Linked DNA regions of Styela clava. The protein of the gene in region 4 interacts with the protein of the main gene of each other region in a pairwise test. Links are inferred from orthologs where the notes say so. Each region holds a gene or a part of one and is shown on either strand. Other genes may lie near its edges.

Region 1 (7,258 bases), on a different chromosome or scaffold from region 4:
CTGATGAACTCCCATTGATGAAGGTTAGAAAAATAAAACTATTATATTTATATGGCAGGGCGTGTGTTATCATATTTTTAACTTCTCATTTAATATAACTGGAAAAAGGACTGCCCTGCTAAGCCAAGAGTTGTGTATAAAATTTTATAAAGTATACGACTCAACGATGGGTGGGAGGTAAACATAGAACACGGAAATATCGTTCGTAATTAACTTTTTAATGAAATTTTCCCTTAATATTTTGGTTTATTTTTTGTGTTTTTCACCATATCAGTGATCATGTTTACATAATTCCGGTAGCTGATTATGCATCATTTTCATGCCTATTACATCGGCCTAACCTCAAATGTAATCTCTACACATAATGAGTCACATTAGTCACGGTTTAATTAATTCCAGGTGTCTTGAAACATGAAATTCTAGGAATTCAGGAAATCTAGTGGTGATAGTGCATTACAATGAAAAGAATAGTGTAGAAATATTTCATTTCTAAAGTGACATTTAATGATAATTTTCGTAAGCGTAATAAACCTGTGTTATGTTCATGCATATTCATACTTCGATATATTTTTGATAACCTTTCTACAACATAAGTCAAACATAAAAGGACAAATCAGGTCACAAAAAGTTCTGTTCACTCATTGAGGTTGGTGAATATGTCTTACAGTATTTGTTTATATGTAAAATCGCAGGTGGGCGAAAGGCTTGGTAGTTTTCAAAATGATTTTCAGCAAAACAAGGATCCGAACACAGTGCTGGCGATGCAGCTGAGGCATTCGGAAAAGTAAGTGATAACATCTCTTTCAATTTCATGGTGGCCTGTTAATCAACAGATTCATTTTCAAAATATTATGAATCTCAAAATCTGTTTTGTTGTGACGTTCAATTTCGAAATCGTTGACAGACATTCGACACTCTCAATAAAATAGAAGTTAACAAAATTGAATCTTTGAATAATCTACATTTAGTTAAATGAAAAAGAGCATTAGTTGAGACGTCGGTATTTACTGCGAAATCGCTGAAAATGTTTTATAGATTATAATAATCATACCTATCGGTCGATTGAGCTTGTAAATAGACATCGTCTCAAGAAATGAATCCAACATTGTTTATGCATTTTTGAATACGAATTGAACCTATGAGTCGTTATATTATCTGTGCTGTTGACCTGTTGTTAGTATTCTTTTTTTTTAAATTGCCTCTCTCGTTAACTACTGGTCCGATTGCTTTGAAATATACCGTGGTTTAAAATCGTATTACATTTATATATATATATTTCAAGATTTTGTGGCACTATGTGATTTGTTATTCACTTTCAAGTTTTGTGTGATGACCTCATCAAAATTAAAAATTACACACCTAGTCGTGGTTCGGTGATCGCATTCAACAATCTAGTGGTTAGACTACCGGTACTGTAAATGATTTGATACTACTTCGTTTCGGCTTCGGTGCCTATGTATTTAAGCATTGCTCTATTGTTTTCTTCTGTTCAATTTAAGTTTGGGTATTACCTAGAAAAATTACAGATCTTAATTTACTATGTGAATATAATCAATTAACTACGTTTGGTAGATTTACGGTGTCGACATTCAAATTCAATACTACTGCTAGTTAGCACCACGTAGCTATCCATATGGCATAGGATGACGGTATGTGAAACTTAACCATTGTACGGTTATGGAATCAGTGAAACGTTTACAATGACAAATTCCTTGATTATTTTTTTCATTCAGGCAAATAACCAAAATGTGTGGAGACTTGCATGACATTGTACAAAGCATGAAAGACGAGGAAGAAGATGATGTTGTCGCTGTAAAATGGAGATTCGCAGCCCGTGTTATGGACAGGTAAATTACAAAAATCTTTTATAGGATAAATCATGTCTACTTATTAAATTGAAGAGGATTATGCAGATGGAAAAAATCATTGGTTCTGACAAATGATTCAAACTTCTTGAAATATATTTTCAGATTTTGTCTCGTCTTCTTTATACTGTTCTTCCTATTGTCAACTCTCTTTACTGTCGGAATGCCTCCAGCGCACACAACCTAAATATTGAATAATTACAAGTGAATGAGAAGCTCGGAAAAATATTTCAAAACTTTTTCAATTGAAAACACTGACTCTAAGCACTTTTGATCCAATTGAAACTTTGATTCTGAGTGTAATTTATATGATTGTTAGTGATATGTTTATGTAGTATTTTGCAACATCTGTGGTTTTTTTGCTTGACCTTCTAGTGCCTTCTAAAATACCTAACTATTTTTAGTTTTTTCTTGCATTGCTTGCATTTTTCTGTCGTGTGCCAAGTTCGACATTTGCAAGGTCACTGCAAAATATTGTGTTTCTGTGTAGTTTGGACTTTAGGCTTTATATATGAAATGAAAATGGCCTTATATACGGTTGCATTTGAAGTTGTATATATATTATATTTACCCGGGGAGTCTGTAAAAATATTGAATGAATAAGCATTTTTCTTTGTAATATTTTGAACTAATTTGGAGTCGTGTTTAATGAATACCCAGGATAATCAAAAATATAATATTTATCAAATTAACAATTGTTTGTGAATAAACCTATTAAAAATATTCCATTTGAAATTTCAAAATCTCGTTATTCAATCTTGAAAATTAAGTGACTTACATAAGTGTTCATAATGATGGAAGAACCAGAATACCACAAACCAGAATATCTTACAATCATCACTTGATAACATTTTTTAATAGCACACTTGATAACTTGAATCTTCATAAACAAACGTGGGATGCGTTAAATATTACTTAATATACTTTGACATAAAACAGATTTGTTTTCGGCGATAGAGCTCTTCATCCTTCAAAAGTGTTTGACACTTATCTAAACCCCATTAAACCATTAGAAACTGAAAACATGTTCAATAATGTTTCATCATTTATGAACTTCAATACCCCTGGCGATCGAACAATTTAGTATGACGTCATGAAAATATTTGGATAGTAAGAATGTATATGATGTAATTGGTAAATTAAGACATTCTCCGCTTAGGGATACAACCTACGAGGGATTAACGTTGAGAGGAAAGCAAGAGTTAGCTGCAGAATATCGGACACAGGCAAGTTGAAAATCAGTCAAGGAACAAGCCTTTGCAAATAGTGATAAATAGTTAGTTTGGTTGTTTAATATTCGATGGGCGCAATGGACGGCATAATAATATAATGCGAATAGCAGCCATGCTGATAGTATTCCTTATTTAGTTTTTGATTTTTATGTTTATATTATTTAAATATTGATTTATTTCACCATTGAATTATATCTAACGAAAGATACTCGTTACAGATGAACAAGGAATTGCAGAAACAGTGAATAGATATTAGGTTTTTCACGACTCCGAGTCGGTGATATCAATATCAATATTAGCTTCAAATTTATCTTCAATAAGGTTGGTGTCAACAAAGGATACTTTCTTGGAGCTTTTATCCTTCAAGTTGAAAAGTTCGAATACTCTCAATTTCTCATATATACTTGCTTTCTTACATGAAACGAAACAGTTCACAACATTTCTTTGAAACATTTCCTTCCTACATGACGCCTTATGCAATCTACTGACGCCATGGAATGTCATTACCAAGGTGTTAATGGATCTGAAATCGTTTTGGTATTAACATTATTAATAATGGGTCACGGCCGCATTTCACTTCGAAGCAGAAACACGAACAGTGTCGAACAATATTTCTTGTCTGTCTTTGAGCTACCGCTATACTGGCTAAATCTCTCGGGAGTATGGTTGCGGAATAAACTCAGAGTGACGACAATTTATATAGGATACCTTCAAGTAGAAATTCCGTTTGACTGAAGTACGTGTGCGTTTATTAGTCATAGTTGGAGTTAAACCGCTGTTGGTAAGCACCAGTTACCGGTAAATATTTTTTATTTACGGCTAGTACAATGACAGCTGTATAAAACATTTGACAAACAGATGAAATTATTAGCAAATCGTATATGGATTTCTAAAATACGAGTAAAATCGAACAATGCTTAAGAAATCTACAATAGATAAAATGTTATGGAAAAGGGTGTTTGTAGCTCATAATAACGAGATTTGTGATTTGCGTGTACAGTATAGTGCAGCTACAGTATGTACAGCTTTCCAATGAAAATTCCGTTCAAATTTCAAATAGCACATTCGATGCAGCTTTTATATTCACAATTTACCGGAATTTCGGTCTTTATAAAACAAATTCATTTAATTCAATTCTAGCAAAAATAAAAATAGATTCCAATATAGATATGGGGCAGAATAACGGTCATCAGAGTCGAAGTCCGAATGATGCAAAATTAGAAAAACAGTACAAAGAAGAATTGAAAAATCTGATCGATGATGGAGATGGGACAGCAGCAAAACATTGGCTGAAAGACATTTGCAGAAAAGTTCGCAATCCAAAAGAAAGATGGAACGTGCTTGGATATGCAATCAGAACTGTAGAAGGATGGGGTAGATACAGAATAATGTTGGAAATATCAGTCAAACAAATCGAAATAGCTCAAGCTATTAAAACAAAATGTATTCAGTCGGACTTTATGGGTGGAGAATCACTCGTAAGCATCAATACAACTCTTGCTGACTCGTATTTAAATTTAGCAAGGTAAGTAGTACGTATTCATTTTCATTAGCCTATGCCTATATAACGAACATTTTGTCGCCACGTAAGACAAAACAAAACTGGCATCGACTCGAATGAACGAAACTACTTCTTTGATAAAAGATAAACTAGGATTGATTTTAAAGAAAATCTTTTGCTAGCAATGTTAGATGTTTACCGGATTTTCGGATTTCGGTTATTAGACCAATTTGCTTTGGATGAATAATTACTTCAATATAACGAATGAATATAATCATTAATTATAGAATCACCAATAGAATCTACTCAATAATCTGACATCATAGTCGTGTATTTTTCCTATAAATTCATTTATTTAAAACGATGTTGAGAGTATATAATCATATAGAATTTGGGGACCGGTTTTTCATCTAGTTTTCAATTGGAGAAATAGGTTGCATTTTTCTCTAATTTATCAAAGGCAGAATTAGTATAAGATATGTTGTTGAATTTGTATTTTTTTCTCTGAATTTAGGTATCGTATTTTGCTTTTCAGACCTAAAAGAGTAGTAAACAATCATTTAATTTTCCAGGGCTAACTTGTGGCTGTCAGAATTTTCAAAAAGCGTCGATTATTGCTTGAAAAGTCTGACATTCATTGCCAAATGTAGAGGAGCCAACAGCGAAGTAACGTTACGAATAACAGGAGAAATCCATCTATGCAGAGGAAGTGCACAACTTCGTTTAGGAAACCACAGAAAAGCTTTAGAAGATCTAGAAAGATCTTTGAGTTTGGCAAGTTCTCAACAAAACACCGATTTGGAATGCATGTCATGTTGTGCTCTTGGGCGTTTTTATGTTAACCTGAAAGATTATGAAAAGGTGGGAAATTAAATATAATACATGCATTTTGAAATGCGGATAAAACAAATATAAAGTGAAATGGAAGATAATTCAACGTAGATTTTTCTATCAATGAATTGCTTCGTTGTGAACATTATTAAATTGGATCACTATTTTTTCTACGATTTTCAATGAACACAGTCTATCAAGTTTTTATGTATAAAATATTGGAATAAACAGAAAAATATGTATTTTTCATTATACCGATTGATGTTTATGTTTCATTTGCTTTAGGTAGTACTGATTTAGAGTTTTACAAAGCATGACAACAAAATTATTTTTTTACAGGCCACATTTTTTCCTCTGAAGGCGGCAGAAATTTTGGATGAAAAAGACAGCCCACGAAACAGAACGTTCATTCAACTACATTTGGGAGAAGCTTACAGAAAAGTCGGAAAATTGGAAGAAGCGATGTCCTGTAGTGAGGTACCAAATCAATTGCAACAGAATTCACACAATCGACTTCAAAAAACAGACAAGCGCTCCAAACAAGGAAAATCGCAGTTGTCAGAATAGGATATTTGTATATGGGTCAAGTAACAAAATATATTGCAGTACAATCTTCCACAATTAGAATGATGAATATATGAATGATGAATATAATATTTTTAAATGTTTATAGGGTTTTCTGTATGACACTGGTGAGGTGGACATCTGATTATAAGAATTTTATCGCATGATGTTGAAGCTACAATTTCAATTTAATACGTATTTTTTTCAAATATTTTATTTTATTGTCAGGAAGCTCTGAAGTTTGCAATTGAAAGCGGTGACAGAGGTTCGCAAGCTTATTGTTTGTTGTGTTTTGCTGACATTCATCGAACAAGGAAAGATCCAGAACGCGCATTACCTAGGTATGAATCCGCTGGCTCAATGATGCGAGAAATTGGTGATCGTTATGGTGAAGTGAAGGTTCTGGTTGGCAAAGCCAAAGTGCATATAAAGACTAAAAATTATGGAACAGTAAGTTCTTAGATGCTATATAATTCTGATATTTACAGTTTTTTAGCAGGTAATTGGTTTTGTAACAATGATATAATTTATTACTTTCGTATGGTTTTATGATCTCATGCGTTCAGCACACCCCAATTTTTCTATATATATATATATATATATATATAGTTTTGATTCCAGCGTGATAGTTTTACCTCAAGTATACAAAATAGTACAGATATGGTTATGAATCGTTTGTGTTAGGTTAGCCTGGATAGCCATGCCATGTACAATCTTTAGGTCTTCCAACTTCAATGAATTAATCTCATATAGAGTTTCCCAGGCAATATCTGATACTATGGAAACTAGAGGTCCAATCAATTCTCACTTCAATACTATATCATTACAGGCGATCCAACTATATGACGATGCTCTTAAACTATCACAAGAAATTAAGGCAAACGTAAGTGCAACGTTTCTCTTGGCGTAACGAATTTTATATATAGTATATACTGCGTTAAAGCTCGGAATAATGTTTAATCTATATATAACAGTATTCAAATTGATGAACGTTGGCACCTTTTTAAATTCATTAAATGGTGATCATTACATCAGCACTAAATATTGATCTACACTTCAGCAAAAACTCATTTATTTTATTTTTATCTGTTTTTTATACTAACGACAAAGGTTAATTAAGATGCTTTACTTTCAAGATACATTGATATATATGATGATTTTTATTATTTATGTTATCTTCCGCTAGATGGAAAGCATGAGCATTTACGGAGAGCTGGCCGTGGCGCAACAACGTCTAAACAATTTACAAGAAGCACGTGACTGCA
Region 2 (7,107 bases), on a different chromosome or scaffold from region 4:
GGATATACTAATTACACAATAAGCCTCGCTAGTATTCGAAAGTGGAACACGTATATTTGCGAGTTGACGCGTATATAAATTTATTTGAGTCGTGACACACGACACTGAGAGAGTCAGAGAGATCCCACTAGAAGCACCGTAGTGGGGCTCCCGAAGTATGCGAACCAAGATGGCGGACATCGGAATGTAATATGTGTACTAGATTAGGGTTCGGCCATAATTTTAGGTATAAATACTACGGGAGACTCTTGGCTAGTCTTCGAACTGATAATAGGACTAAAATAAGGAAAATTGAAAAAAAATTATCGCCTAACCCTAACCTGTCACCAATGTTACGTTCCGATGTCCGCCATCTTGGTTCGCATACTTCGGGAGCATCGTAGTTTTGGTACTATGCGAGAGAGCACCATTCTGACCGAAATTTTGCCTTTTTTTTGAATATTTGTATCCTTCAATTTATTTTTAAATTGGCTTATTGATTTGAGTCTTTCACTTGTGTTCTGCTTCAGATACGATACCGGTACCTGGCTAGTATGACGTTATCAACGTAGTTTACCAAATATGGAAAATAAATGTGCTGTACTTTCTCCTGCTATAATATCACAGCCTTAGGCTAACATGATAACATTTGACGGTGATAATCAGTCAGGTGGAACCGGTGTTCCTGGGGTAAAATGGTATCTTTGTTCAGAATATTCGCCAAAACCCACCAGACCACTGACTATAAAGCTGCTATATCAACGCATTGAGGACAACCGCGGACAATAATTATTTTTTTTCAAATAAAATTTTTCGCCCTTGGGATTTCGCTTTTATGTATGTGAACACCGGCGAGAAAAGACGACGATGGTTGTCGATCGTATGTATGACACTCACAATGTTATACCTCCATTTCGGAATTGTATATTATATAGCACCATGGTTCGGTGAAGTGTAGGCGTTCACAGGGGTGGTTTCAAATGTATACTTGTACTTTTTGGTTGTATGCTGGATATATGTCGCTTTTGGCGTGTGTGAGAATGAGGGGCGTCTTGCAGTTGGCTATTATACATTTAGCGATAAAAAATTAACGGTGTTAATTGCATCTAATTTCACAGAGTCTGCTACATGCTCTTAAACGACCCGGATCAGTTTTGTTTTAATAAATGGATCAGGTCTCCAGAAAATACATAGATACAAAATTATCGGAATAATCAATAACTATGTCAGGATTTGGGAACCATTATTTTTACGTATAATGTGAAGCTTTACGTATAATGTAGAGTAGCGCTCACACTGCGCTCCCTATTCGGATCACTACTGCCGCGCATAATGTAGATTGTGGACCAGTGTTCTTCAACCTTTTTTATCGAAGTATACCTTTTACAGTTTTTCAAGAACTTTGTATACCTTACAAATACCAATGTTTATTTAAGGCGGCTCAAAATAAACAATAAATTGTAAGCACATATTGTACTGCAATATCATCATGCAATCTAATAGGCTAGCGACCGCAGGTTATAAATTTGACTGACTGCCTTAGCGTCGACGGGAATAATGTTCGACATAAATGAAACAAAGTGCATGGCAGCCGAAATCACCAACCCAGACACATGATCGTATTATCTATATAATTTGTGATGTAACAACGTGCTCACGTCGGTTCTTAGCGTTATAACATTTTATATTTCGTGTGCGGTTCCATTATTGTCTCCGATTGAATATTTTATAATTTATTATATATATTAGAGTTTAGATTTTCTGATTTAGGCTGTACACCTTTCGTATACCCGTGTCGCTCATCGGGCTTTAGGTGTATACGGTGTCAGGCTTTTCGTCTGTTTTCAGTGTGTATCTGTTTTACAGTAATTATTTTGTGGCACCTGGCCAACGTATATTCTATGTTATACGATTTGATAAGGCTTTGTTTTCCCTAAGCTAGCGATTTACTAACCCTTCTACGCATCCACAAGGTAGTATTAACTGTAACGACATCGCTTTAGCTCAGTTTGTTTGTGATCTGCGCGCTTGCATGCGTTTTCTGTTGAATATTCCTATTGCATGTTGCTCTGGCCCTCAGCAATACCATTGAGTCGGTTTATGACTTTAAATGTCTAATCCGCTGTAATCAGCTTAAAAGCTTCTAACCCCAGGCGCGGACTTGATTTATTTCGTGTTATCGATTTGCATTTAATAAGTCACTAATCGTAATCAAATCCGCCACTGGAAATGTCCGCGTTTTATTGATAACATACATGCATTTCGTGGGAATGGATTATGTTTACGAAACAGCACTTGTGTCAATCGTGTTCTGATTGACATGTAAACTAGATTTGTACTCACGCGCCAAAAGGACATAAATTCTGAGCGTTTCTGTTAAACATAAGGATAGACAGAAAGAGGTCGGGCAATAGCCTCACATAAGACGCAGAATCAGAGAAAATTAGTCGTGATGCAACAACGGGATAGTATCGGATAGAAAATGCCGAAAATGTAGGATTTCCTGCAAGATGTCTTCTATTATTGTAGGGAAGGAGAAGAACATCGTGCAATGAACTACAAGCGAACTTACGTCTGAAACAATTACAGTAATGTCAAAACAAACTGCGTGGCTGTTTCACGCACACTCGCGGAATACACACTGGGAGTTACATCCAAAGGCTGCAGCCAGCGGTAAGTACGTGCTGAGCGGATGCGGATTATACTGGTCTGTCTACAATGAAGCTATTGTTCTAATTGAAAACATTCCGTATTTAACATTTTCCTGTCGTTGTATACGAGCACAAATCAAAGCGGATATCGATACCGACAGAAGACTATATCATCGTGGATAGAAATATGTTTGCTATGAAAACGCAGGATTATATAAATCAAATTGATTCCAGCGTTACATCAATTTAAAAATGCGTTAAATATTCGCTTGAATTGAACGACAGTTGTAAATTGATTAGTGCGTTTTGATTAGAGTACAGTATTGCATATTTTGATAAATAAATATTGACATCATTGGGTTATCAATTTCACGGCTAATTTTACCGTTTCCCGTAGGAAACAGCAGCGATCGTCTTTTCAAGCTTACGATTTTTTATTGTATTGTCGCGTGAGTGTTCGGGAGGCCTAGTCACGCGTGTCAGTTTTTTCTGTGGCGAGTCAGTGGTTTTGTTTGGATACGTCATAATTTCAAGCTGCACTTGTGCGCCGTGGATGACTAATGATTGTCGCCCACAAACTTTTTCTCCCGACTCCGTTTCGCCTTTTTCTCGTCTGGTTGACGCCATTTTGAAAAGCACTCGTACGTTTCGACTGCGGTAGCGCAAGTGTCATAATGGATGTGCTCTTTCTTGGCGCTATGGGTTTTTGTATATATCTGAATATGTATGCGATGTATTATCGTAAAGGAACGGAATTAAGTAGTTTAGTTTCATTTAAGGTACAGTATCGTCGTACATTCTTGTCGAAAATTCGATTTCATTATGTACATAAAATGAAACGAACTATTTCGCGTGTGTGTGCGAACGCGTCACTCCGCCCACTCGAGTACGAGTCTACGAAATTGTCGCCAGCCCGAAAAGTGGTCAGGGAAAATTGATTGTACCGTACTTAGCTTTTGTCGAACTGCCGGGCCGAAGTTACAGCTATATACTGAATATATCAGTTAGATAGTGTAGTATTACTGTATTATTTAGAAACTTCCTTATACAGTTATAGTACGGCACCAAGCCCACCATCGCGCTGCCAAAAAATAATGTATCATGGTTTGGTCAAGTTAAAAATTTGTAGATTTTGGTTAATTTATATACGATGCTTAGTTGATATACAGGTATTCAGAAAAAACAGTGTTATGATTAACTAGCTCTCCCGATTCCATAATCAATTTTTATTTATTCGTTTTTAACAGTCATTTTATTGTTACGCTGATTATGGAGTCAAACTATACTTATACACTTATAACCCAGTCATAAATAATGACTAAATACTGAATTATTGTTTTAAGTTTGAATTTTAACAAGCGTTTCAATTTCAAGTTAAGATTTTAAATACAATTTTATTGGTATTTTTGTTGGGCCTTCTAATCAATCATGTCGGAAATGATGATAGCCCCGGGATATTCCAGTCATAAATAATGACCAAATACTGAATTATTGTTTTTAGTTTGAATTTTAACAAGCATTTTAAGTAAAGATTTTAAATACAATTTTATTGATATTTGTGTTGGGACTTCTAATCAATCATGGCGGAAATGATGATGAGCCCCGGAGATATTCCGATGGCAGATCCCAAAGCTCAAATGAACCAATGGCAGCAAGGTGGATGGGATTCTGGTATCAACTCAGGAGCAACAACTGCCAATCCATCAGTCACTGGAACAGTGGATGACTACACAGACACCGAGCAAGTTTTGCGAGAATGGCAAAGGGAATTAACCATGGAAGAAGCAAATCGTATGTTTATCAGTTTCGTTTTTAGATACAAGTAGAATCATAATGCGATATTTTTATGTAGGTACGGTATCAATAAAGTTTAATCAATTTTATATTTCTTGTCTTCTGGAAATTCCAGCTTTATTCCTGAAAATTTCAAGAAACTGTCTTATGCCTAACAATTTTACACATTTTTGACTATTTTAATGTGATCACATTTTTAAGACCATATGAAAGGCTGAAAATTTTTGTGGTGCCCTTCACAACGAAGGTGGCGGAATTGAAGTATACAGGGGAATGCGCTATTGAGTTATTTCTTATTATTTAGTATATGAAACTTTGATTTGCAGAATTGAGTGACCAATTTGCTCGTACTCGCGCCGACAGAGTTCGAGATGTTCTTTTTCCTGAAACCTCAATGGATGATGGATCCATGCAGCAGATTCCGAGCACACAATTTGATCCCAACAATCCAACTGCTGTTCAAAGATTGGCGGAACCATCTCAAATGCTGAAACATGCTGTTGTTAATATTATCAACTATCAGGTATTAAGATATAAATATTGTATTATACGTCAGTGTACCCATCAAACAAAAAAGTGTTATACAAAGAACTGAAATGCTTTACTTATGTGGCATTCACTACCTCATAATTACACAAGTGAAGGGACAGCCATATTCTATAGTTTCAGTAGATATTTGTAACTCAGTAATATATTGAAACAGTCCTAGTTCATTTAGTGTTATGATTTTCAAAACACAAGAGCCAAAGATGATGAATGTTGCTATAGATTTAAAAATACCCCAAAATTTGTGCGACCAGTAACAATCATCCCCTCTGCACATCAGAATGAATTTTAGATTGTTGCCTATGTCGAAACTAAATATCTTTGTTCCTTTAGGATGATGCTGATCTTGCTACAAAAGCAATTCCAGAGCTAACCACTCTACTCAATGATGAAGATCAGGTTGTCGTGCAACAAGCTGCACAGATGGTTCATATGCTTTCTAAGAAAGTTGCAAGCCGTCAGGCTATCATGAATAACCCTGGAATGATTGCTGCGCTTGTGAGAGCAATGCAGGTAAGGCTATTGTTGATGGAGACATCTTTCCATGAGAGGCATTTTCACAGATGAGAATCTAGTGTCACTGTGGATGGTCACTGTGGATGCCTATTAGGGCTGGGCAAAATATTCGAATAGCGAATAGAATATTAAATTATTTGAATGGCATTTTACTATTCAAATATCGGGTACCACGTGATCTGTGTCGCTTCACTCGGATACAGAACGTCTCTGAACCGAACGTGAATTGCTCGAGAATTCACCTACAATGCTCGCTAACAGACAAAAGCGACAAATTTGAAAAATTGTCTTTGCGTTGTGGTGTTATTTGTTTTCTTTGCGTTCCAATCGTTCGTTTCAACTGCCTATTTTGCAAAAAAAGATACCGACACCGTTCCCTAAATTTAGAAACGACAAATCAGATGAGGTATTTAAAATAAATATCCCAGATTTTAAACTCCGTATGGTTGGCGGCACGTGAACCAAACATAAATTTGTTTAACGAAAATTAAAATTTGAAATAACCTTTGCATGAAACCATACATAGTATAACACGCACAAGCTATGACCAGAAAAGAAATGGCAGAACATAGTTCTTTTAATGTACTTTCAATTAATTCTTTGGTGATCCCTTTCATTCTTGACCAAGTGATGTTTCGAAAATGTAATCGTTTCACTCGGTCATGCATGGCGGGTGGAGTGTAAAAATCATAACGTAAAATCAGTCGTGAATTTCGATGTAACAACGCGCACTGTTTACGAATTGTTGTATCATCGGAAATGATTACATTCGTTATATTTTGAGCATTTTTGCACTAAAATTGTGAATTACTCTGTAACGATGGATCGCGGGGTTTCTTGAAAGAAAACGTCGGAACTTGAAAGATTTAGTTATATTTAGCGCCTGGCAATCTATTAGGCACAAAAGAGCAATTTTTTTCATTCAGCATCGGGTCGCATATGTAAATTATTATTCAAGAAGCGCTGTTTATTAACGTCAACTCTTCATAGGGCTACGCAGAAATGCCTTTATTGCCGAATTATTTAGTCACCACTCACCATTTTAAATCAACATTCGAGATTGACGCAATCGCAGCTTTGCGAGGTTTATCTGTAAAGTAACATAGACACCATAGAAAAGCATAGCAAAGTTAATTTTGGTATTGTCTTAATAAATATCTGCATCCCGGTATCAATAGTAATATTACCGTTCGCTTGATATTGTGACGGTAAATTTACAAACGTTGATAAGTAATATGAAAGCCAACGCAAATGATGAAAATTAGAATAATATTAATTTGGGTTTGAAATCAATCCTTAATGGTTTTAACAGCTGTTACCGACGTGAACGCACGGGTGAACCGGAAATATAAACTTGTCCGACGACCCGAAAGAATTAATACTTGCAAAAAACAGAAAGGGCGGTAATGCCGGTAATATAGATTATATATCGCCGCAAAAACGGTCACTGTGACAAAAACGATCAGCGATTATGACGAAATCAACCAGTAAAAAAACGCTTTGTAGCCGATTTTTCAATGTCTTATTAATTTCCAAAGGAAGTATCGACCGACGTTCTGGACCTTCCATTGTGCATAAAAATATTCGTTATTCGACTATTCGATATTCGTTAAAAATATTC
Region 3 (7,947 bases), on a different chromosome or scaffold from region 4:
CATTGAAAATTAACAATAGTGTTACTATTATTAATATCTTCTGATTGAATCGAGCATGCAATTGAACATAACTGATCGAACTATTTAATTATGTGAATATATAATATATATACTACAGCCAGTTACTATAGCAATGCTGGAGCAAGCAAAACCCAAAATTGCAATAAATTATGACATGACACAATATCATTGTCACCTGTTTTCATATTGAAAACTCCATCACCTGTACAAGTAATAGAAGAAACAAGTGAAAACTTCGAATAGATTGATTTATACCAACAATTACTAGCAGAACAGCTGAGCAAAGAACATAAACTTTAAATATTGTAAATATGTAATGCATAGCAGCACCGGTTCAAACACTGCGTTTAATCATAAAACATATTAGGAATTGGTTTTACAAAGCAAGTTGAACAAAATTTACTCCAATAAAGAAACTGAATAATAAACTTAGTAGTGATGTAACAACTTGCAAAACATCTAAATTCTAAACTGGCATGGAGGAAAGCCTGCTTATTAGCGCCTGTGCAATACCCAACTGTGTTTTAGAAGGGGAGTTTTTATTGCACGACCATTAAAAATAGTGAGCCGAGACTGAGCGGTACAAAAGATTTTGTAAGACAAATTATGTTTTAAGCAGAATAATATTTTGTAGTTTCAATTTAGGATGTTTTAAAAGTATGCTAAAATAACAATTACAAATAGAAAGCAGTCAGTATAGCTGTTAATATTTGTTAGTCTTTTTCTGGGAAATACTATTGTTAATCAATCTTTCCTTTAATAGAGATATCGAAAAATTTCTTGGTTTATATATCAAGGCAGGATTGGATGACATAGCATCAAGAAGCACTAACAGCAATAGCCCTAATGGCTAAAACCATGCATGAACTGATATATAATTAAATAAATTACCCAGACTATATTGAGATCTGCTCATCGGCGACAACATATTTGCAATTTCCTTGGCAATTACGTGACCTCCACCATCACCAGAACGCAATAAGTCAGTCACTACAGTTTCAAGTTCTTCTTTGAACACCTATTGAAGAAAATTATAACACAGTTCAATTATTACGTGAGCTAATATTGACACTCGCTATGAATATTCACTGTTAACATTTACAAAGTCATAATCGTGAGATCATGCGTAAATTAAGCGAAAACCATATATATCTAAAAAACTTAACCCTCAATCTATATTACTTTGATTTCATAGTTGGATCTTGTATAATAATACTTAAAAGAGAAACAAAATGAGAATGGATTGCACATTAAAGACTTGAATGAAAACTCCGATGTTAGCTCTTTAATAAAAAATAAACCCAAACAAACTAAAAAACTTGAATAAAATATAGATTATCACAAGAAACTAAGTTATCTTCACTACAATTTGATACAAAATAAAGGTCACATAGCAACTAAAAATAAGTAAATTTACCGGACTAGTTAATACAGATGAAACTCGTTTCTGCTGTCCTAGCTCATTGACATCTTGATCAATTCCTGTTGGCCTTCTAACAGGATGTATTCCCAGCTCAGCTTCGATATCAACACCTGAATGACTTCCTGGAGACTGAGGATCAAGCATCTTTGAATAGGAATAGAAAACCATTCGTTTATATTTATTCTAGGGGAGACAAAAGCAGTTAAGCTGACTCAATCACATGGCGAACCATGATCCTTCGTCTGGTGGCCATTTTCTTGGATACAGCAGAAATAATTAATTTACTAATTTATTGTTCCAGCTTGGATCGGGGACGAAGCTGGCCATAGAAGCACTACATGCCATTCAATACTATTTGATAATACCAAGGGTTGTAAGATTTCCTCGAATTTATTTCTTGAAAGGTTCGAAACCACTGTTCTAAATTATCACTGAGTCGAGCATTCACTATATTGAGTAGCCTACACTTCATGTGGGTCATCACTGAGTGTTATATTTTGAATTCTTCACATACACATATAGTTCAGTACTTATCAAAACTTTATAAATTGAGTAAACAAACATGACAAGTGCCACCCTTTCAAGATTTGTAAATCATGAAAACAAACATACCGTATTTGCTCGTTTTGTAGCCCGGGCCCGTATTTTTTTCAACCAACTCACTAACCGGGCCCTTATCCAAACCGGCCCTTATTCAAGACGGGCGCTCGTTATTTTCGATCGTTACAATAATTAATACATTGTTATTTCCAGTTCCAGTATGATTCAAACGAGAATAATGAAAATTTTGACTTTTTCTACGCACCGCAGGTACAAATCCGCAAAAGAAGAAAAGTCTTGTGACGCCCTATCAATATTGAAACGACGCACTTGGGCGTCGCGACGCCCAGTTTGAGAACCATGGTGTTACGTAATCAATGCTATCTGTTATGTACTTGGACGCCTAAGGCGTGAGTGTTATCTACAGGTGCTTAAAATTCAACAGCGTTGTGACAAAAGCGCTTCTTATTTCCTATTGTTCTCTACCACTGAAAAATCAGCTTTTACATCTCTACCACTCATTCTCATTCTCTACCACTGAAAAATCAGCTTTTACATTCAAGCACCGGCCCTTATTTATTTTTATGTTCTGTTCACATGGGCGGCTTTTCAAACGGGCCCTAAAAAAACGAGCATATACGGTACTCTGCCACTGAAATATATTAAATTATGGGGTCTAGTGTAGTTTAGTATCACAAGTACTTCTATTGATTTTGTTTACAACTGACAACCCCCCAAAGGCCATTCATTAACAATTCATATTATTACTGTATTAAGAGAAAAGCACTCATGCCTCACTAAAACAAATTTCAAGTTTTATGATCCACTACTCAGATACCATATTTTAACTATAGGTCAGACCAAAGAAAAATCCAATAAATACCTCTCTATGAGATTGCTTGGTTCTTGTAGGACTTTTCATCGCCATTTAATTGATATTTCGAACTGATAATTTTCAGATAACTAGACACATTAAATTTCAAAATGAGTACATTAAATACTACTTGCCACGCATCGTGCACTACAAAAAACTGTTTAAAAAGTTAGCAAGCGAAAATGAATGGGTGCATTATATCAATTAGCGAAAGAGTCTGAATAACCCAACAAAAGTCACACTACATTGCACATTTGATTTGGATGAAACTTATTACATATTACTGTATTGATAAGATGTGCCATCCTCATGCGAGCCACGAAATTGTCTATGTTTCTGGTTATATTTTATTTGAATACATACAGTTCATTTCATTCTTTTCATAATACAGTAATATGATCACATTTAATGACAATTAAGCAGATGGATTTCAAATCAAATTGTTTACTATAGAAAGAAACCAAATGTTCACTTACCAATTTTATCAATTAGAAATTTATCATTCTCAGCATGAATTAATATCGTATCTGTCTACGATTCTTTTTTATGTACCGCATTCAAGGATGAATACGTCATAAAAAATTTAGATTATTTCCCATAGTACAATAGGGCACAGTTTTCCGATTCCAAGATGTCCCAACATTCTGACATTTGGTTCAATGAAACAAACACTCTATTTGTGTCTGAAACTAGGACGCTTGGCACAACATGAGATTGTGCCACGCTGTCTCGAAAATAAATTAAATCTTTTGTGATCTGCGTCGCAGGCACATGACCAAAATTGTGTTTTTGTTTTGTTGTGCAATGCCTGTTTGTATCTAGTGAAGGAAGAGTTTGCACTCACTATTATAATTAATGTATTTTAATGTTGGGGCCATTCTTGGAATCGGAGAACAGTGCCATATTGTAGTATTGTTGCAGTGAATAGTTTCCATACACATTCAGACATTCCGTACTGTAAACAGGTTATCAATGATAGGATAGGATTTACATATTTATCCCGGGGGGGGGGGGGAGAGGAAAGCCAATAAGATGGCTTATCCATATGGCGAACCACGACCTCTCGTCCGGTTACCATTCCAAGTCGGGTATGGGATTAGTTAGATTGTTTGTTTTCGGAATCATGGACTTGGTGGTGGAGGAAGCCGTAACCGACTGTTAGGTATAAAGAGCAAAAGATATTCAGCATTAACAATGTACTTCGTGAATGGGCAGATGGACACATGTATAATAGTTAGAAGTTCAGCGGTTATGTGAACCACCCAACGACGGCGAGGAGTCCAGCAATCCTCTCGCACATAACCATCCCTGCATGGGATGCGAACCCACGCAGATCAATTAGAGGTGTGGTGGCGAGCGTATTCCTAACGCTTAGCCCGTTGAGCCACACTGCCGCGCCAAATGATCTTCCCATTCTATCTGTCTATTGTCAGATTGTACCATAATCAGATACCGTAGTACCGTGAGCTTATTGCTTGACCTATAGCCAAACTTTCTCACAATTTATTCTCATAGTGCTTTCTACATCTGTATCAGACATAACATGAGAAATTATTTTTGAAGGTCAGTCGCAGTCAGGACAATTAATTCTGTAATTAGTCTTCAATTCAATGCAGCCAGCCTGAATGGGTAACAAGTACAACTTAGTTTACGAGCATACCTCTGTACCTGCATGCCTGGGGGTCTAGTATAGTTTGGTACCGGTAGTCTACCACAAGTACCGTACTTCCAGTGGGCATAGCATAACGAATTTTGCATATGCTATTCCTAACCCCCACCTGACTACCGTATGCCATCCAAAAATTACGTCACTACGACGTCATCATCACGTCATAGGGCTTGTCAAAGTATAATTACGATCGCCCGAAATGGCATCTGCGCCGCTGATAACGAACTCGCTTAACGTCGGCGATCTCTCTCCTATCGGGATCGTTGTGACGAAAAAACGAGAGAAATAGCTTGCTCGATTTCGGATGATCGTCTGCGCGTTTTGGACTACCTTCCGCATGCTTTGGTGGGCCTTATTACGCCACTGTGACGTCGAAATGACCTAATTTTTCGGTGACGTAGTCAGGTAGAGGTTAGGATTGACATATGCAAAAATAGTTGAGCCAGGCCAACTAGAAGTGCATGTGGGTACTAAACTATACCGGTACCGTACCAGACCCCATACCGGTACGGTACCACGTACCGGTACGGTACCGGTTATTGTTTTAGAAGCGTTCCTACCTATCCACCTTATTGCAGTGAATTCTATCAATAAGAACATGATAAATTATAATGTCATATAATATATTAAAAATGTCCAAGATTGCCTGAACTGCTGTGACTTGCTTATACTGTCCTATAATTCCAGAATTCAGTACCGGTAACTCGAATCGACGATCCTCGCTTCCGCGCTTGAAATTAGCTTGTATAGCCTACATACTAGAACTTGTTTTTGTCGCATCCTAACTTTGATTGAGGTAGGGTACCGTATGTTCCTTAATCTGTATCGATTTGTCGGTCTTCCGAAAACATCTCTATTTCCGTCAACGTGTAACCGATTGCTATGCATGTATTGCGGTATCAGTAGCACCATGCTAAAACATCCTCCACCATCAAGTCCATGCAGCGATTTCCTTACACCCCCCTCCCCCCGCTATAGGGGGTGAACACACACACACACACACACCCTATTTTTCAAACACCCCAACTAATTTTGAGGTGCGATTCCATTCTGTAATTCCCAACTCGGTTGTATTTAATTAATTATATAGAATATATATGGCATATTTATCAGTGTAGATCAGGGGTTCCCAAACAGTGGGGCAATTACGTCCCGCGTAACGACTTAAAATGCCCGCCTGGTTTGAACATTTGACTGATTTATCTTGGTACTACTTACTTTTGGTGTGTTTACGTATAGTTCACTGCATCGCGATTATTGGCTGATTACTTGATTACTTCTTGTTATGGTTAACTGTCTAGAGCTTTAGTCTGTCTTTAGATCTGTTCTCATAAGCTTGTTAATGGTGCTATAGTCATTGGGTATGAATAATCTATTTCATAAGTTCCTTACATTGGGATAATCTGTTCTGACAAAGCCTCATTTAAATGTAAGTGAATTGGTATATTCTTGCTTTGTATTGTGCCTGGTTGCCTGTACTCATTTTAATATTCATCTTTATTGTTTGTCAGGTCACTTTGTCTTACTGATATCTGGATTAAATCACTTTGGGAGAAATCTATTCGTTTCATTTTGGGATATTAGTTAAAGAGACATAGTAGGCAAGGGTGATTTGTCAATGGGCAGAAATCCAAACTAGTGACATTTAATGATACTGCACCTACACCTACAAACTGGAGTCTGAATCAAGCAGTTCTTCTTCAACCTTTCGAGGATTCAGCAATACATCAAAGCAAGAATGCCAACTAACAATGTCAGAATATTTTCAAGGTCAGAATTTCAAACAACTCAAGAGTAAGTTTCCGGTACTCAAAAGTAAATTTGGAAAGAATTTTAACACGATTTGAGCACTCTCTGGAAAGAAGAGATTTTGAAAAGGTCAAAATACTGTTTCATGATGCTAACGATAAAATAGCATTTTTGGTCTGTCTAATTGATACTATGGAATTGGCTCTAATTGAAGAAGACAGTACTACACAAAGTGAGGAAAAACCCGTTATATCCAAATTTAGTGAAGAAATTTTACGTGTGGAAAACAAGATTGCAATCGATTTTGAGAAATATGAAGACAAACTAGATATAAAGCCGGAGATATCATCTCTTGTAACCACTCAAAACAATTATAATAATGATCCTCCTATGATTAAGTTATGTGGTATGCATCCGCCATGCTGGAACGGACAAAAAGTAGACTTTTATACCTGGAAAGAACGTTTTACACATATAATGCACCATGCAAGAATTACGGATGATTTAGTGCAAATTTCATGACTGTTACGCAATGGTGCAATGCCAAACGATTATCAAACAATGATATGTGACTGTAAATCAATTTCAAGTGTATGGGAACGCCTGGAAGAGCGTATTCCTAAATCAGTAGTTCAACGTGAAGTAATCAAGCAATACGAGCAAATAAAACCTTTATATAAGACCTCTCGTAATCCAGCGAACCTTAGGCGACTAACTCACGAAATTTCTCTCTTCTGCCGACGTATGGAAGATCTTGGGTTAAAACAGGATGCAAACTCGGTTATTTCTGTCAATAGAGCATTAGAGTGTCTAGATGCAGACACTGCACTGCGATATAATAGTTCCAGCAAAGGTAATCATAACTTGGAATCTATAACGAATTTTCTGAGATCTGAAGCTACAGCGTTGGAAATATCTGGTAACTTTATCAATCAAACCGAGAATATGAGGTTTCGACCGAGACAAAACCAGTCGCCAAGATCTAATTTCAATACGGTTAATCATACTACAGACGAGAATGATAACATGGGTTCAGTTCAGCCACGTCAAAGGACAGTCACTTGTATTTTTGAATGTGGAATTCAGCACCGCCTTATAGACTGCAACAAATATCAAAACCTATCAATTCCTGAAAGAAAAAAACTTTATAGCAGATGATCGAAGATGTTTTATATGTCTAGGAACTCACTTTGCAAGAAATTGTGCAAGAACAACAGCCGATAGCTGTGTAAATTGTAACCAAAGACCGCATCATTGGTCATTATGTCCCGGAAAAGTACAGGGAAATTACAATACAATGAGAAATTCTGGTATAAACGATTCGAATTTGGAAAGTCAACATATTCACTCTAATGCAGCAGTATTCAACCAATCTCAGATGCATTCAACACAATTGAGCGCTTTTAATTTGGATTATTCTCCATTACTTGTTGCAGAAGTGCAGGCGAGTGACAAAACATGGATCAAGGCAAATTTCTTTCTTGATGGTGGCAGTAACCATTCTTTGGTAAGACGTAATTTTGTAAAATCATTGAAACAAAAGGCAATAGGTCATGGAACAATTCGGTTTGGTGTCGCAGGAGGAGCCATTCATGAAGAACCTTCTGAAGATTATAATTTAAAAATTAGACCTCTTTCACGAGACCAGATATTTGATATCAGAGTTACGGC
Region 4 (7,084 bases):
CGCTAGCAATTATGCCATTCGTTAAAACTGTCTGTTTTTTTTGATGATGATGATTTTTATGTGGCGCCAAACTATGGCGCTGATACGAGTATCAACAAGGGTTTGCCATATTAATTCAATTATTTTCAAAGTAATTCGTCGTTGCGCCTACATACAATGAAAAAAAGGTATTTTTGCGCTGGAATATTGCAATCTGGGTGCATAAAATATATATGGTATACTATCCGATTATAATTAGAATTGATTCTCATTTTTTGCAATTGTGGTAATTTGTGCCGCTCAGGATCCTTTTCAAGATATCGCCGTTAACAAAATCTAAAGGCCAAAGATAAAATTTCACATTTTACATTGATTAGTTTTATGCCATCACCACATTTAATAATGAATAATGAGTAATGGAATGAATCAACTCCAGGTGACTACGGTAAAGTTTCCGGAAAAAATTCCGGAATTTTGCAATTTATTCCCGTCTAAAATAGAGTTCTCAATCTGTCGCGGCACTCCTAAAACAAAATTTATGGTTTCTTCTTCGTCTCAGATGATTGTATTATAAAGAGTTTTTTACACTCTGCGCACAGTTTCGGACGAAAAAAAACTTTTTATCGTCATCGCTGGCACATATCCACGGGGATACTTGTGAGATGGAAAGAATTCTCGAAAATATGGTCTACCGATATAATACCGATGTTCACGGCCTAAATACCCGCGTCATTCTGAAGAACATATTTGGCAATTTTCACCATATTTGACTTTTCGAGAGAATTCCCAATCGCCCCCCTGTCGCCCTTTTGGAATTTTTCGCCTTTTGTTTTATCTCTTTCGGCCCCAAAGCGATATCGACCCCTTTGAGAATCGCTTTTCTAGTTCATTTAATATATCTGGTAATAAAGAAAGAACACTATTCGTTGTTAACGAAGATTTTTTCGTCATTATTTTCCAACGACATACTTGATAAAAGGGATTCATAAATGAATAATGAGTTGGAAAAAAAATGATTTGACGCATACAATTTTTCAATGCTCAGTCTAGTGTAAAGTTTTTCCAATATTTATTAATTTTTGCGAGAAATTTGATGATTTACTAACGCGTTTATAAGATAAGAGTGTCTCGAATACTCCGCTGGACCGGTAACCGGGTGATAGGGCGTACTTTGCTATATGATTTATCTGCCTTATCGAGTTTACTGAAATAACATAAAATGTCCTGACATTTCTCTATATACTTTCGCAAGACGATATTAGGAATACCTGTGTGCTACTTTACATTCTGCCATTGAAAACAACCAGTTTCATAGGTTTGTCCAACGACTAACATACCGGGTTTGTCCAATTTGTCAAAATAACTCGAATCTTATCACTAGAGGCGCCATTATACTGGGCTGGCCCAAAATTAAATACAGGCTTCAAACTGGCTGTGGGTGATAGGATTTGTTGTCGAATTATGTCGTGTGATCGTCGAGGTTCGACTATAGCATATTGTTCTGATGTATTTATTGCCCAATATTTATGTAGACTACAAAAAATATGTCATGTTATGAATGTACTATTGTGACTAATCATAAAATATGGATACCGTCCCGTTATCTGTAACCCTAAAACAGTTCTTTTCTTTTCGACTGACGGATTTGAGCATACATGTCTTGAGTACTTCCTGTATATATTATACAACTCGTTCGGGCCTACTGTGGTTCTAGGCATCAATGAATAATTTCCTCCTGGTCTTATAATCCATCATTATAGCAGTGGAGTACTACCAACTCAATAGTACATCCTGTTAAAATGTGAAAACTTTTCGTATCTCTAGACTTGTTAAATCATAGTGTCCATTATAAATCAACTATTTACTCAATCATAAAATAATTATTATATTTCAATTATTTAACATTGAAAAAATCCTCTAACACAATTGGCAAACTTAAATGCCAGTTGTGTTTAGGTCGAATTGCTCTACATTTGAGACCCTTTGACTTGATATACTAATCTAGTACTATTCCCTAGAAATCATTCTCCTCCTTTTCATGTACAACTCGCCAATGATGCTTTTTATATTCATATTTTGTGATAATGAAATTACGATACTGCATTATATTTTGCTGTTACATCAACTCATACTATTATAATTATTTACATTTTTATTTATCTTTCACTTGTCTTTTTATATACTACTTTGACATCCCTCTGCAGACAAAATATTGTTGATTATTATGCTGAAATAATGCTTGTTAGGTCCTATTAACTATTTTTTTCCCCTCCTAATCTAGACAAATCAAAGCAGATCATGTTTGTTACATCTTCAATGCGTACCTATGCCATGAAATGAAGCATTTCTGCTAATTCATCACATATTGTGTATAAATTATTTAAATTCTTTCAGTAACCTTTGGAATCTCTTCAGATTTTGAAATCCCGCTCCACATAAATAAATAAAAATGATTTACTCTAGCATTCCCCTCCCCAATTTTATTCTTCCATTTTGAGAATATAATTTTAAATTCTAGAATGTTCCTCCCCAATATTTTAGTCATCTGAAACTGTGGATCTTAAACATAATAGCTTGAAGGGGGGGAGTTGACTTTGATGACCGTCTGGTCGTATCACTCCCTCCTGTCTATACCAAACAAATTTATTTCTTATTGTTATTTTTATTATTATTACGATGACTGTTATTTTTGGTTGACGAAAAAAATAAATCTCTCTCTCTCTCTCTCTGTTCTGAATACTGGAATACCAGTACTAGCGACTCTGTAATGTCAGAATATTAATAGGTTATGGTTCTGTACCTACTTCGTAATATTGTAATATAGCACTGAGCAGAAATATAGAAACTACAAAGGTCAGGATCTTGGACTGAGAGGATCCAATTTCTGAATTTACTGATTTAGGATAGAATTTTTATATTTATTCGGATAGAAAAGACATGGCAACAGCGAAATTTTTTGTGGGTTGAGATTTTTAGGGCTTTATATTTTTGTGATAAATACCTGTTTTAATTATCTTTGGGTGGATATTAAGGAATTAGGCGTTTCAGTAATGCTGTTACAGTGTTATGTGATTTCTTATTCTTTATCAGATTTATTTTTTACTATTAGTTTTGTTTATTCTTAAATTTGTTTTTTTTATCAGTACGTTTGTCAGTAGTCTTCATTTCGCCTGTTATTCAGTGTTATGGTTAAAAAAAATTGTGAATGTCAACTGTCAGTTGATAATCCTGGCTTTATTGTATTCAGCAATACCAACTTATTATGAGTTTTTTACACTCATGAATGCTCTTAACAAGGCTCTGTAGGCAGCTACTTGAATGTCAAAATATACCGGGTTTGGATGAATAATGCTATTCTTTCTTATTTAGCATGAGATGCTGTTATTTGATTATTTGTATAAATAAATAATCTTTTTCATACATTGAGTAATTTTACAAATATGATTCAGAACTTTATATTATTATAAGTCAGGGGTGGCCATCACGTCGATCGCCATGTCTCAAGTAGTCGATCATGTCATACCTCAAAAAATTGGCTTGAACCAATTCCATGCAACAGCGCCTGTTGTGTGTTTTGAAACAGGAAAAAAACAGCACTGTAACATGCGCAAAATACGATAAACCGGTACACATACATTATTTCAGTCTGTGCAAGTCCGATAGATCATATTATTATGTAACAAATGCAAGTTTAGGAATGAACATGCTGAATATCATGCGTCTTGACTGACAAACAATGCTACAATAACATCTGCAATATGGGAAAGTTATTGTCTCACTCCAAGTGTAGTGTAATATCTTTTGTTCACAGCGGTAGCAGTGACATCAGAATGCCCAAGTTTGGTCAGTCACGTAACATTTATGGTGTAAAATATTTATATTTCGCTGTTTAGATAATATGTATAATACTTAATCGACAAGTTTTTTTGAGGGATTTTCAACACTTACGAATTAAAAGTATGCAGACCGTACATCTGAATTGTAATATTTGATTAAATCTTAAATAAACGATGAAACATTCACTTCCGGGACAATTACATAATCAGAGAGCGAATTGTTTTTAACCAATTTATTTGATGCTAATATTTTTCAGTATATGCTTCTAATTTTAACTAGTATAGAAAGCCAAGATGGCTTCTGGTAAAAGACACAAACACTGGTCTGACAGAGTTCATGAAAGTGTTGTTTCAAGGAATAAGAACGGACAACTAAACTTGGTTATAAAAGGAGGTGCAGAAGAAGTTAAATTTCCTTTTTTTGGAACTGTAAAACAAGACAAAGTTATTTATCACAGGTACAATTAATTATTGCTATTTTGAATTGTTCGCTAGTGCAATAATAGAAGTAGGTTTTACATACTTCGTTTTTATACGCTGTTGTTTCTAAACCATGCATGAGTAAATATTTGAAATACTCAATATTTCAACACTAACAGTATAGTAAGTATATTATTTCTATCATCTCGTTATTTATTTTTACATTACTCGTCTACGAGTGTTATAATCATAGCATCATGATTCTCTTTTGCCAAAGCATTAATTTAAAGTTTCTGAAAACATTCACTTAAACAGAATTAAAAAGTGGACTATTGGAATTATTGAGCTGTAAGCATTGCTCTCACTGATTTTTTATCAAATTTATTTATATTTAACATTATTCAATGATAAAATGAAGTTTTGTATTTAAAAGCTTATTCATTTTAGTTAAGCGCTATTTAAAATCATATTTAATGGTGTCGATTGATCTTCTCGTGTTTATGTTATGCTCACACTCGTACTCGGCTATATTATTACTTTTTTTTAGTACTGGTATGTTTGAGCATAATCAATGTTCGTTTCGGATTTTGGTATATAAATAGATTTGTGTTAAATTTCTAAATATTATGATTGCTATAAGATTTACTAGGAATACATGAAGGCTTATGTTGCCAAATACTACAACAGGTATTTTGTCATTGGCACAAGTTCTTTCCGGTTTATATTGTATGTAATCTTTAACAACCAGCTGTTGTAGTTTATAAATGTTAAAATAGAATAATGAGAAGGTTATTTTTGGCAATTACCAGTGGTTTTCTCTTGTAAATTTTACCTTCTTCAAGCACTTTATCCGTTTTTTTTATTGAAAATTTAGTAAATACTTAAATAGGTACTTGGTATAAGCCTTATTTTATATCAAGTATTTGTATTAATATGTGTAATGGTGTGGTGTAACCTGTTTATTAAATAGAGTCAATGGTATTTGTGAAACTATGAATACGCATGTCTCGCTGACATGTTAACGACTTCGCTTCTTTTCTTCAGTGGAAAAATTCAAGATGGTGAAGTCCTACTTGAAGTCAACGATCAGTCTGTAGCAGGTCTTACGCTATATGATCTCAACAACTTAATTAAACAAGCCAAGGATCCTGTCAGATTTAAAACAGTGAAAGAAGGTATTTTATTATATATTGTGCGGTGCATCGTATATTTTGGTACCCCCAGCAAAGTACACTTTCACTCTGAACTGGAAATATAGAGGTTTTGTGATTAAGGATGTCTGTCAACAAATTCAACTTTGGGTTATCTGTGTATTCAATTGGAAAAAATTTAGATAATTCAAAAAAGCTTTTTACTAATTAAATTACGGTACATTAGATTTTTTAGAGGAAATGTTTTGAAAAAATATCAGTTATCTTTTTTCAATCTGAATATATTTAATATTTTTCTACATTTATGATTATGAATTGAAAAATAATAAATTACAAGTAAGACTAGTTCTCCATTTTGTCTGCAATTGAATAAAATCTATGTTTTGGTTGTACAATATTTTATTTTTTAAAGGGAAAAGTTTTAAAGGAGAATATTTTCGGTTATCCTTAAAAACAAAAGTTTTAATAAGTTTGAATATGGTTTCAAATATATTCAAGCACTTACCGTAATTCATTTTGAACCCTTCTGACTAAAATACAGTTGCTTTAATAAATATGAAATATTGATTCATAAACTATTGTAAATGGAATTTGGAGAATGTCAAAAAAAAATGTTCGGAATAAATTTTAATTTTTTTTTAAATATAATTCAATAAGGTTCTATATTAAGACTCTTGCATCGCCTTCTTTTATGTCGAATTCTGTGTAACTAAGTAATAGATAATATCCATGTTTTTTTGCAAAGCAGTATAAGTACTCTATTTTTACATAGGTTATGCATATGTCTAACTGAAACCAATATTCAGATTGTCACTACTAGGCTTAATTGAGCATGAAGAATGTTTTGTATATTATGTCTTACTGTTTTGATAAGCTGGTTATACAACGTTGATTTCATAGCCTATTAGTTGAAATCAGATTTGACTTGTACACTCTTTTCATATACATCCTCAACATGGATAAATCTTTAGCATACTGTAACTCTTGAATCAATTTTTATTATAGGAAGTATATATTACACGCATTTAAAAAGTAATTGGATTTTTGATTGCTATTGATTATTTTGTTGTTGTGTAATCTAGTTAATATGGTATGTACCGCAAATCCAAAGTTAAAAAATAAAAGAGAATCAAGGACATTTCAGATTATTTACTACTATAATAATAGGAAGGATAAAAATGTCACTGAGCTATGGAACCATTAGAGCCCATGCTTGAACAACTTATAAAAGAGATTTCAACCAGCCATAACCATTCTCTTTACACATGATCACAAGGAAACCAAATGATATTGGCATGTTACTAATCTAACAGTCTTAGTTTATGGAAAGCACATTAAGTCATACAATAAATATATTTATCAATGTATGACTCTTCCGACTCTTCCTTTCATTTCTCAACTTCTACTACCCTATTCAGGTCAAACTTTAACAAAAGATCTCAAGTTGTATTTGAGTGAAAGGTTTCCACTTGGAGCGGTTGATCATGATTTACAAGCTGCAATCAGAGATAATCTGTATCTAAGGACACTTCCATGTAAGTAGAATTTTAATCTGTCATGAAACTAATCTCTAATATGATTTCCTTGTATCTGTGTTTTATTTGGTAATGTTGGGAGAAAGTTGTGCATAGGAAGTCTTAGATTTACTTCTATGAATTTAAATTGTAATTTTCTTTTTCATCAGTGCAAATGAGGTAT

The links.
Region 1: the proteins of membrane-associated guanylate kinase, WW and PDZ domain-containing protein 3-like (region 4) and 43 kDa receptor-associated protein of the synapse-like interact in a two-hybrid assay, tested with the Caenorhabditis elegans proteins (2 studies listed by BioGRID). The link is inferred for Styela clava from reciprocal best matches to the Caenorhabditis elegans genes magi-1 and rpy-1.
Region 2: the proteins of membrane-associated guanylate kinase, WW and PDZ domain-containing protein 3-like (region 4) and catenin beta-1-like interact in a two-hybrid assay, tested with the Caenorhabditis elegans proteins (2 studies listed by BioGRID, with this or other methods). The link is inferred for Styela clava from reciprocal best matches to the Caenorhabditis elegans genes magi-1 and hmp-2.
Region 3: the proteins of membrane-associated guanylate kinase, WW and PDZ domain-containing protein 3-like (region 4) and alpha-adducin-like interact in a two-hybrid assay, tested with the Caenorhabditis elegans proteins (2 studies listed by BioGRID). The link is inferred for Styela clava from reciprocal best matches to the Caenorhabditis elegans genes magi-1 and add-1.

The regions. Positions count from the first base shown.
Region 1 is NC_135255.1:10,699,336-10,706,593, reverse strand, and holds the start of 43 kDa receptor-associated protein of the synapse-like, read left to right. Parts: upstream 1-4,237; 5' UTR 4,238-4,266; coding exon 4,267-4,622; intron 4,623-5,170; coding exon 5,171-5,459; intron 5,460-5,768; coding exon 5,769-5,906; intron 5,907-6,221; coding exon 6,222-6,443; intron 6,444-6,822; coding exon 6,823-6,876; intron 6,877-7,179; coding exon 7,180-7,258. Other genes in the region: neuronal acetylcholine receptor subunit alpha-7-like, read left to right, coding at 1-23, 693-784, 1,734-1,847, 1,971-2,052.
Region 2 is NC_135250.1:17,838,763-17,845,869, forward strand, and holds the start of catenin beta-1-like, read left to right. Parts: upstream 1-4,106; 5' UTR 4,107-4,210; coding exon 4,211-4,421; intron 4,422-4,750; coding exon 4,751-4,947; intron 4,948-5,303; coding exon 5,304-5,483; intron 5,484-7,107. UniProt on the Caenorhabditis elegans protein: Required for cell migration during body enclosure and cell shape changes during body elongation. Plays a role in recruitment of the cadherin protein hmr-1 to adherens junctions.
Region 3 is NC_135258.1:23,366,910-23,374,856, forward strand, and holds the start of alpha-adducin-like, read right to left. Parts: upstream 3,016-7,947; 5' UTR 2,913-3,015; coding exon 2,868-2,912; intron 1,589-2,867; coding exon 1,439-1,588; intron 1,040-1,438; coding exon 913-1,039; intron 224-912; coding exon 197-223; intron 1-196. UniProt on the Caenorhabditis elegans protein: Membrane-cytoskeleton-associated protein that promotes the assembly of the spectrin-actin network. Plays a role in time-dependent memmory loss and the retention of conditioned behavior over time.
Region 4 is NC_135257.1:12,831,213-12,838,296, forward strand, and holds the start of membrane-associated guanylate kinase, WW and PDZ domain-containing protein 3-like, read left to right. Parts: upstream 1-4,057; 5' UTR 4,058-4,109; coding exon 4,110-4,273; intron 4,274-5,279; coding exon 5,280-5,410; intron 5,411-6,804; coding exon 6,805-6,921; intron 6,922-7,084.